Linked DNA regions of Ovis aries. The protein of the gene in region 3 interacts with the protein of the main gene of each other region in a biochemical or structural test. Links are inferred from orthologs where the notes say so. Each region holds a gene or a part of one and is shown on either strand. Other genes may lie near its edges. The genes, in order: LRP2, RGS19 and GIPC1.

What was found.
Region 1: the proteins of GIPC1 (region 3) and LRP2 form a complex in vitro, tested with the Homo sapiens proteins (2 studies listed by BioGRID). The link is inferred for Ovis aries from reciprocal best matches to the Homo sapiens genes GIPC1 and LRP2.
Region 2: the proteins of GIPC1 (region 3) and RGS19 form a complex in vitro, tested with the Homo sapiens proteins (2 studies listed by BioGRID). The link is inferred for Ovis aries from reciprocal best matches to the Homo sapiens genes GIPC1 and RGS19.

What each region holds. Positions count from the first base shown.
Region 1 is NC_056055.1:140,232,285-140,235,933, reverse strand, and holds part of LRP2 (low-density lipoprotein receptor-related protein 2), read right to left. Parts: coding exon 3,607-3,649; intron 2,971-3,606; coding exon 2,675-2,970; intron 1,037-2,674; coding exon 520-1,036; intron 1-519. UniProt on the Homo sapiens protein: Multiligand endocytic receptor. Acts together with CUBN to mediate endocytosis of high-density lipoproteins. Mediates receptor-mediated uptake of polybasic drugs such as aprotinin, aminoglycosides and polymyxin B.
Region 2 is NC_056066.1:53,500,153-53,503,938, reverse strand, and holds the end of RGS19 (regulator of G-protein signaling 19), read right to left. Parts: intron 3,450-3,786; 5' UTR 3,373-3,449; coding exon 3,343-3,372; intron 3,136-3,342; coding exon 3,014-3,135; intron 1,768-3,013; coding exon 1,693-1,767; intron 1,615-1,692; coding exon 1,374-1,614; intron 1,301-1,373; coding exon 1,109-1,300; 3' UTR 505-1,108; downstream 1-504. UniProt on the Homo sapiens protein: Inhibits signal transduction by increasing the GTPase activity of G protein alpha subunits thereby driving them into their inactive GDP-bound form. Binds to G-alpha subfamily 1 members, with the order G(i)a3 > G(i)a1 > G(o)a >> G(z)a/G(i)a2.
Region 3 is NC_056058.1:9,615,414-9,618,189, reverse strand, and holds the end of GIPC1 (PDZ domain-containing protein GIPC1), read right to left. Parts: intron 2,100-2,776; coding exon 1,987-2,099; intron 1,659-1,986; coding exon 1,577-1,658; intron 1,434-1,576; coding exon 1,282-1,433; 3' UTR 585-1,281; downstream 1-584. UniProt on the Homo sapiens protein: May be involved in G protein-linked signaling.

The DNA.
Region 1 (3,649 bases), on a different chromosome or scaffold from region 3:
AATACCACTGTCTACCATAAAGATGCTCAGAGTTTCAAGTTAGCCATTCTTTAATTTATAACCAGCCTAAGTTGGGAATGACTAGCATTGTTAAGTAGCCTGTGAATTCCAGGAAAGCAGGGGCTGTGTCTGTCTTGTTTACCTCCAAACCCCAGTCCCTAGAATAGCATCGCACTTAGGCAACAGCTTTAAATGACTGAACCAACCAAAGCATGAATCATCCCTTCACATACCTCCAGTAATAACAGAGCTCTTTCTTCCTTTGTGATGTGCCCCCCCATAAAATTCATACCATAAATTCTTAAAAGTCACTAGATTTTAGATTTTGTGGTATCCCATTTGATTATTAGGTACACACCAGAAAACAGCAACAACAAAAACAAACCATGCCGAAGCATTAAAGTGTTTCTACCTGGCAACCCAAGTGGGAAAGATCAATTCCCTATTAAGATGAAAGCCTGGCTAGAACACTTTTTCAGAAACAAAAACTTGTTAACTTTTAAATAGCTTTTTTCTTACCTGGTAACCCAGTCGACAGCCAGACTTTCCGCACCTGGTAGATTGTGCTTTAGGACTGTCTCCCTGTTTGTCTTATTCACAAACATTCTCTCAATGACTTTATTCTCTATATCAAGCCAGTACAATCTCTTTTCTACTCGGTCAAAATCCAATGCCACAACATTACCCAATCCTTGCAAGATGAGGGAGTATAAATTGTCATAGATAGTTAGATTTCTCAAATAGTAACGGTTGCTAAAAATGAGATCAGGCTCGATGTTGCTGTTCTGCCGACAGGTCTTTCCATCTGGCTCACGGATGTAGCCTGGGGCACATTTGCAGATGTAAGTGCCAGGTAAGTTCTCACACTTTTGGCTACAGATGAAGGGCGTCTCCTTGCATTCATCAATATCAACACAAGTCCTCTTGTCAGACAACAGCTTGTAACCAGGGTTACAAGAACAATAGAAACTGGTTAAGGTGTCTGTGCAGTTTTGGTTACAACCACTGAGCGTAGGGTCATTGCACTCATTAATGCCTGTAAGGTAAAAGACAGTTATCAGAGAACCTAAGTTGTCAGTAATGGACCCACCATAATGGTCAAAAAAGTCAGCCTTCCCGCTGGACAGATGCAGTTCTTTTTTTTGGTTGGGTTTGGACCGAGCCAAGTTCTTAAGCAACAGTTAGAACTGGACATGGAACAACAGACTGGTTCCAAACAGGAAAAGGAGTAGGTCAAGGCTGTATATTGTCACTCTGCTTATTTAACTTCTATGCAGAGTACATCATGAGAAACGGTGGACTGGAAGAAGCACAAGCTGGAATCAAGATTGCTCGGAGAAATATCAATAACCTCACATATGCAGATGACACCACCCTTATGGCAGAAAGTGAAGAGGAACTAAAAAGCCTCTTGGTGAAAGTGAAAGTGGAGAGTGAAAAAGTTGGCCTAAAGCTCAACATTCAGAAAACGAAGATCATGGCATCTGGTCCCATCACTTCATGGCAAATAGATGGGGAAACAGTGTCAGACTATTTTTGGGCTCCAAAATCACTGTAGATGGTGACTGCACCCATGAAATTAAAAGATGCTTACTCCTTGGAAGAAAAGTTATGACCAACCTAGATAGCATATTCAAAAGCAGAGACATTACTTTGCCAACAAAGGTCCGTCTAGTCAAGGCTATGGTTGGTTTTTCCTGTGGTCATGTTGGATGTGAGAGTTGGACTGTGAAGAAGGCTGAGTGCTGAAGAATTGATGCGTTCGAACTGTGGTGTTAAGAGAAGACTCTTGAGAGTCCCTTGGACTGCAAGGAGATCCAACCAGTCCATTCTGAAGGAGATCAGCCCTGGGATTTCTTTGGAAGGATGATGCTAAAGCTGAAACTCCAGTACTGTGGCCACCTCAGGCGAAGAGTTGACTCATTGGAAAACACTCTGATGCTGGGAGAGATTGGGGGCAGGAGGAGAAGGGGACGACAGAGGATGAGATGGCTGGATGGCATCACGGACTCGATGGACGTGAGTCTGAGTGAACTCTGGGAGTTGGTGATGGCCAGGGAGGCCTGGTGTGCTGCGATTCATGGGGTCGCAAAGAGTCGGACACGACTGAGCAACTGAACTGAACTGAACTGAAGTTCTTAATGAATCATGCTAAAAAAGACAAATAAACAGGGACATAAAAAGGGATTTCTAAAGGCCCTACATTATTCAAAAGTCACTCTTACTCAACTTCCTTCCTGGATCCTTCACCAATAGTTTTAACAACTAGTACAACCAGGGTGGGGTTAGGGGCACGGTGGGAGGGGGACTTCCAGTTAAACCTTCCCCTTTAGTCACCTCAGGATGAAAATTAAGAACAGATTAAGGAATGTAGGAGGGGCAGTTAAAGCAACAAGTCATTGCATGATCACCACTGTCTGCTCTTAGATAGATGGCCTTAATTTGTTTATCTCCTATTCTCTACAATGAATGACTAACTGATGATTAGTCGAAAAATGTGTGTGACCGACCTTATAGACCAAGAAATCCTTGCTTCTTCATAGACAAACAGCAGTAATTTTCTGGCAGTGTGCTACTTAGAGAACCAACTGAAAGGTCCTACTAAGTCAGAAAGGGTTGAGAATCCACGTTCAGTCCCCCCATTTCCTTTTCCCTAATTTTCCATTATACTCACCACATCCTTTCTCATCACTGCTGTCTAAGCAGTCAGGGAAGTGGTTACAGACTTTCACCATCTCAATGCAGTTCCCATTGTCACACCTGAACTGATGAGGGGGACATGTGGTCTCTGGGGTGTGACAGAGGTGCTCCAGCTCATCAGAGTTATCTCTACAGTCATTGTCCCCATCACAGACATAGGCCTTATTAATGCAGAGTCCGTTCTGACACGTAAAAAGGGTCTCGCCGCAGGTAGGGTACACACAGCCCCTCTCATCACTGTAGTCACCACAGTCATTGTTCCGGTCACACCTGTGTCATGAGACCCAGTACCACTTAAAATCAGAATATTTCAGGTGAAAATCCAGATCCCCAGTTTCTCTCCAAACACATGATGCTGACTGGTGTCTGTGTCTCTTAGCTGGAGCACACACCCACAGTGTACCTCACCTGCCTCTCTCTGTTGTCAGGCTGACCCTGAGCCACAGCATGCAGCCCCATTTATCATCCTGCTCACTGGTACTTTTCTTATAGCAGAAAGAATTGAATGAAGTATTTCTTACGCCCATGCCTCTATTCCAGGTGGCAAACCCTGAGCGTCAGCTGCCTCAAGAAAGAATTTTCTTCTACTAAGCCCACTTCACTCATCTCTCTGATCTTCTGTGCAAGGTCACGTTATGACCTTCATGGACCCCAGGCACTTCTGTTTTCATGGGCCCCTTCCTCCATAAAAATATTTAAAATTATATTTAAGGACTACGTTGGTATAAAGCCATATATATTATTATTTAGTATGTAAATATTTTCTTTGAAGTTCTCTTTATTTTTTTTCTTTTGATTTTAAAAGAAGTCCAAACATTTTCAGAGGCCATGAAAAGTATCATGGGCCCCAGCCCTGCCTCATGGACATTTAAGGTTTGTTAATAAGTTTTTTAATCCCCAATTCACCTGAAGTGGTTGGGGATACACAAGCCATTGTTACAGACGAACT
Region 2 (3,786 bases), on a different chromosome or scaffold from region 3:
AAATCTGGGCCCACAGCTGTGTTTGCCTGCAACCCTTCAGGATGCCCCTGCCCCACTGCTTGTGGAGGCAGTGTGGATGGGGGTGGACCCCTGATGACGGTCCTGGGTCCCGGTGCAGCTCTGAGTTGCTTTACCAACTGGAAATTGAGGGATCAGAGTGGCAAGCCTGTGCCTTGTGAGGCCTCTGACACAGTATAGGTGCCACTGCATGGCACCCAGGTTCTCAGAGAGGTCACCTTGTCAGTGTCCTGCCCCAGCTGGCCCAGCCTCTGGAGACAATCTTTGATACCTGCCAGGGACCCTGCCTGCGGAGGACCTGGCCAGTACCTCTTGTGTTGCCAGCTTTGATGGCAAGGTGCCTTGGGGGCTGCACTTGCCTGATCACAGGCCCTCAAATGGGGAGGGCTGAGCACCTGGTCCCTGCACTGGGCAGGGCTGCTCCCCTGCTGGGGGTCCCAGACAACTCCTCATCCTCTCAGAGAGGAAAGACTTTTCCTTTAAAAATATCTTCAATAAGATTCTATTTTGGGAGTAAGAGGAGCAGAGTTAAATATGAAAACATTTTCTTTTTTTGATAAGACACACAGTGCCATATTTCCTGGTTTAAACTCAATGATCATATAAAAGAGAAATCAGGTCCTGCTGCCTTGAGCCTAGTTCTGAGGTCCTCAGTCTAATCCTGGGGTGCATACGGCACCAGGCAGAGGTCTCCTTGTATCACAGAACTAAACAGAAGGTCTGCTCTCCACGAAAGGGTTTCCCAGGGACCCTGTGAGATTTGTGGCTCCAGGATGCTTCCAGGGAGGGTACCTCCTTTCCCCACGTGCGAACCCGAGCAGGAGGGCTCCGTGGCCAGAGGCGGGGGGGTGGTTGATTCAAGAAAGGTCGCCTGGGCCCAGAGGCACTCACGCCTGCCTCTCAGCAGGACCCTGGAACACTGCGTCCCCCGGGTGGGGAAGGGGCCTCTGGCGCTGCACCTGCCACTCTTGCCTGGGACCACCCCTGGGTGCTGGGCCCGGTGGGTGTGCCTGACACCTGCTGAAGCTCTCTCCTGAAAGGAGTCTCTGCCGCGGGAGGCGTCCCACATCTGGGCAGCCACGTGGGCAGCCTAGGCCTCACTGGAGGACTGGGAGGCCCCCTGGAGCAGCAGGGTGCGGTAGGCGGGGGAGCTGAGGAAGCGGGGGTAGGAGTCTCGGTGCATCAGCGTGTAAATCTGCAGCTGTGCGTCATCGAACGTGTGCGCCGACGGCTCCTGCATCTTCTTGTTGATGCCCTCCCGCACCCGGGAGTCCAGGCTCACCTGCGGGACAGGGGCCACGGTCAGGGGCGTGGAAGCGCCCCCACCCTCCCACCCTGGGCCCGGCGCGGCACACCTCCTTGGGGGACAGGATGGACACGTAGTCCTCGTAGATGAGCCGGGCCTTCTCGTCCACCACATGCTGGTTGGCCTCGGCCTTGAGTTCCTCGCAGGCTAGCCAGAAGAGCATGTTCTCCTCGCTGTACTCCGTGCGCAGGAACTCCCGGAATACACTGCGACCCGCTGGGCTGTGCATCAGCTTGTCGAAGGACTGCGCCCAGCTCCGCACCTCTTCCGGGGTCGGCGTCGGCGTGGCGCTGCGGGGGGCATTTGGGCATCAGCCGGCTGCGTCAGGCTCCGCCCCCACCCGCGCAGAACCCCCGGGCCAGACTCACCAGACTTCGCAACTGGGGAGGGGCTGTAGCCTGCTCTCCCGGGAGGCTCGCCAGGCCCGCCGACGTTCTTCGTTCCTGCGGGCAGAGGGGAAGGTGGCACTGCCCTCCAGGCACACGTATGCATGCAGGACACTCCGCACACAGGTGTTAGAACGGGCAGGAGGCCTCGAGGTTCTCAACACACGGATGAACCCGTCGCAGGTGGGTCCGCTTTCCCAGCCTTTGGTCCTGCCCTGGGACATCTTCTTGCCTTCAGGGCTTCACAGGCCCCAGGTGTCTGCCTCCCTCCCTCCCTGGCCTGACCTAGACCCTCGCTGCTTTTTCCTACAGACCCCACTGATGTGGTGAAGGCCCAGCCTGTGTGTCTGACCCCTGACTCTCCCCAGGGGATCTGCTTCCCTCCTTAGCTCTGGGCGCAGCATCGGTGATGGCTTCCAAGTCCACACCTCCAGCCAGACCTCTCACCAGGGTCACTGACACGGTTAAGGACATCTGAGACTCAGGGTTTGGGCAGAACTCAGTTCCCTCCTTACCCCACCTTTTAGATGCGAACTCCTCTCCTGGTCCCTACAGGCAAAGGCTAAGCGGGTCCTAACAGTTCATGGCCTCCCATCCCTAACCCCAGGCAGTTTCTCTGTTTCAGGCCTGGGCTCAGGTCTCAGTTGTTCACTGGTCAGCTGATCCCCACTTGGGTCCCCTCAGCGCTGTCTACTCAACAGCCAAGGACTGAGAACCTGCAAAGGGCCATATGCCTCTGCAATGTACAAAACCGCCAACAGGTTCCCTATGTGCCTAGAAACTAGTTCACCCCCCGAGGCCCAGTGCCTTCCCCCACCCACCAACTGTCCCAGGGCCAGGTCTCTGCTCAAAGCCCCTCCACCTGATGCTGTCTGTAGGACCTGCTTTTGTCTTGTTCTGTTTTAGTTCCCAGGGCCAGTCTGGGCGAGCTTACAGAGACAAGACAGACATACACACCACCCTAGCTTACAGCAGAGATGCACACACATGTGCACGCTAGGTGCCTGCATGTTGCAGTAGACACACACACACCCCTAGTTTAAGTAGACACACATACACAGCTAGCTTACAGTAGATACACACACACACACATGCTTGCACGCCAGGTGCCTGTATGTGGATACCACCTGCACTGACCACTAGTCACCAAGCCCCTGGATAAGTACTGTGGGTGGCAGGGGTACCCTACTTGGAGGTGATGCCTCAAAAGCCTCCTAAGGGCTAAGGACCAGGGTCCTGGATCCTAGGTCTGCTCAGTGTCCACTCCCCACCAGGCATATCAAGCATCCCCAGGCCCACGTACCAAGAGCAGCTGCAACAACAGCACCAGCACAAGCAGCAGGGGTTTCGCCTGGGGGGAGCCGAGGGGGCCGCATCATGACTGGACATCGAGGGGGGCTGGTCCGCCTCCTCTGGCCCTGTTTGCTGGGGGAAGACAGGGCTGCCTCAGCCTCCAGGCAAAGCCCATGGTTACCACCCGCTTTCCAGCCCCAACTGCCCACCGGAGGCCATGCTCCCTCCCAGGGCTATGACCCTTGTGGCCTCCCAGATGTCCATGGGTCTCTGAACTCCTAGTCATGCCCTTAGCCCCCCACCCCCCAAGGGGCAGCGGCCAGGGTGGAGGCAGCCCACCTGCTTCTCAGCCTCAGGTGGGGTGGGCATGGATGGGTGGAGGAGGTTGCCAGGGCTCCGTGGTGCCTATTCCAGGACACCTGTTTCTGTCACCACAGCCTGGGGGTCTGAGAAGAGAGGCCGGGGTTCTCACTGAGAACCTTACACCCGCCCTGGCCGGCACCCTGCCAGGCATTCTGAGTCTCTCCCTACCTGCCTCCCTGGCCTCCCACCTCCACGGACTCTCCTCCGCCTCCCACCTCCCACCTCTAGACTACTCTGCCCAGGCCCAACCCCCACTCTAGTCTACACAGAAGATGTGAGGGGATGGGGATCAGGAAGGAGGAGACCCCAGACAAGCTCTCCACAGGAGGTTCTGGGACACCCCCATCTGCTCCCTCCCTGGGAAGCCGGAAGCAGGGGTTCCTCTTTCTTGGTTTCCGGCTCCTGGCCCCTCCCAGGGGG
Region 3 (2,776 bases):
TCCCTATCAGCACTGACTGGGGCAGGCTGAGACCCCATCTGAAGCCCACCCCATCTTTCTTTCTCCATGCCTTCTGGCCCAGACAGCAAAGAATCTGCCTACAATGCAGAAGACTGGGGTTCGATCCCTGGGTCGGCAACCCACTCCAGTATCCCTGCCTGGGGAATTCCATGGGCAGAAGAGCCTGGCAGGATATACAGTCCACGGGGTCGCAACGAGTCAGACAGGACTGAGCGAGTAACGCTTTCACTTTCTGGCCTGGGGGCTCTCCGGGCCACTGGGTCAGAACAGACAAGGGCCCACTGCCTCTTGCCCACTGTTCACATCAGGCCAGAGGGTGGCGGGAAGCTTTGTTCGAAAGGGAGCAAGATTTGCACCCTGAGTAGACGAAGAAGCTCCGGCCTTGCCTGGAAGCCTGGTGGCTTGCAGCCAAGAGCCTCATCAGGCGGACCGGGTGGGAGGGGGCGGGTGGCTGGGGCCAGCTCTTAATTCAATTTGGAGCCCGAAGAGGATGGATTTCAGCTGCTACATTCTTTCCCAGCCCTGACCCACCCTCCTCTCCCACCCCGAAGCCAACACACAGATCCAACAGCAGATAGATTCTTTATGTTCCAGACAGCAAATTCAGGTACAAAAGCCCACCACCATCATCCCTCCCTCCTGCCCCTTCAGTCTGGGGCTGAGCTGAGGGAGACACGAGCGGGGCTGGGGAGGGAGGGAGTTTGGGGGGGTTTCACAGCAGACTAGTGTTTCAAATGCGGAGGTAACAGACTCCACAGTGAGGGGGCTCCTCTGGGGAGATGGGGGGGGGGTGGTGGAAGAGGAGGGCATTATTGCATTTGCTGAGGGGGGGGACACACCCCCCTCCTGCATTCCCTGCATCAGGAAACTAGGGAGGTCACGACCCCCAAACAGAACCCGAGGCCCCAGGGAGATAGGAGGGACCAGTTTGGCAGCTGAGGCGGAAAGTATTGGGGGCAGGGAGGTGGGGGTGGCCACCCAATCTGGCTGGTCCCTCTCCACCGCTGTGCCTGACCCTGGCTGAGGTAGGTGGGGAGGAGGGCGGGGGTGGGGGGCTGGGCGCCCCAGCCAGGCTGGGAACTGGCGAGGGGGTGGTACCGATTGGAGGAGGGGCAGAGGCCCAGCCCCACCTCCGCTCCGCATCATCTCCAGGCTACTGAGCTGGGCCAGAGCCAGACACTGGGGTCCAGGCTACGGTGTCTCCGCCCCAGAGGCTCCCACCGGGCCTGGCCCAAGTCATCTCGAGGTCCAGCGGAAGGCCTAGTAGCGGCCAACCTTGGCGTCCCCGATGGCACCCCAGACGTCAAAGACAAACTCATCCGGGAAGGCGAAGTCACCCAGCCGTTCATCCAGGGCCTCAGCCAGCTCATCCGGGTTCCTTTTGTCCTTTCCGAGCTCCACCATGGTGGCCGCTGGAGGGGGAAGGACAGGGGAGCAGAATGGAGGCACAGATGACAGAGGGGCTCAGGGTAGACTTGGCCCCCCAGGACCTGCAAGCCCCTTTCTCCCACACTCCCACCCATCCCCAGACCCTGATGACCCCCTCCTCACTTACCCAACTCTGTGTCCCTGATGCCCATGTAACTCTCTAACAGGTCATCCACCTTCTCAATGGCCTTCTCCTCAAAGGCTGAAGGCTGGGGGCGGAAAGAGGGAAGACGACATTATAATAATGTGAATATACCTGTAATTATACTGAACGCTGAGTGCAAATTTTTTTTTACACCACTTTTGGTATAGAAACCCACGGTTCTTCCTCATGACAACCCCAAAAGTTTCACAGATTAGGAAACTGAGGTCCACTTGCCTAAGGAAGGTCCCAGAGCTGGGAGGTGGCAGAGGTGGATGGACATCCAGTGCCCAGAGGCCCTCAGCTAAGAGTGATGCTGCCACCTATGAATTTCACAGGAAAGTGGTGGTGGGGGGTGGAGCGGGGAGGGACTTAGGCTCGGCTGGCACACTCACCAGATCCTCTACTGTGGCTGGACCCCGGGATCGGAGCCGGAGGGTCCCTCGGCCAGTACCCAGCTGGGGACCGGAGCCAGGGCGGCCACCCCCTGAACGCACGCTGATCATGTCTGTGGGAGATAGGGGGATGGGGTGAGGACTGGAGAAGCCCAGTTCCAGCATGTTCTGGGCAGAAACCCAGACATCCCGGCCTCAGCCCACCCTCCACCTTCTCCAAGCTTCTGTAGGCTTTGGGGGCACTGGGGGTGGAGGTGACCCCAGGAGGGCAGGTCTCCTGACTCTGGCTTGGCGGGGTGTAGGAGGCACAGCCAGGGGCTAGGATTGGAAAAGGGCTGGGAGGCTGGAGGGGACCACTCCTGTTCCCAGGGCCGGAGGGACAGGAAGGGGATGGGTCCTGGGTCTCTATCTACTTTCCCCAAGGCCAAGGGGGTTTAGCTGCTGGGCAGCAGACCAACCCTATCTGCCTGGGGAAGTGTTTTAGACCAACCCTATCTGCCTGGGGAAGTGTTTTAGAGTCCCCCTCCCCCACGCCAGGGACCTTGAGCCCATTCCGGAGAGTTAATGAAGCTGGACAAAAAAGTAGGGGGCCTGGCACAGGGCAGCCAAGCCTGGCTTCTTGGGGCTAGGGGGTTGGCCAGGTTGGGGGCGCTTGGCTAGGCTAATGGCTCCTGGAAGCTGGGTGTGGGGGCAACTTCCTCCTTGCCTCCATCCTCCACCTGAGCTGGGCAGAGAGCCAACACCCTCTCCCAGCAGAAGGGTGGGGCTGCCCCACCCCCTTTCCCACCCG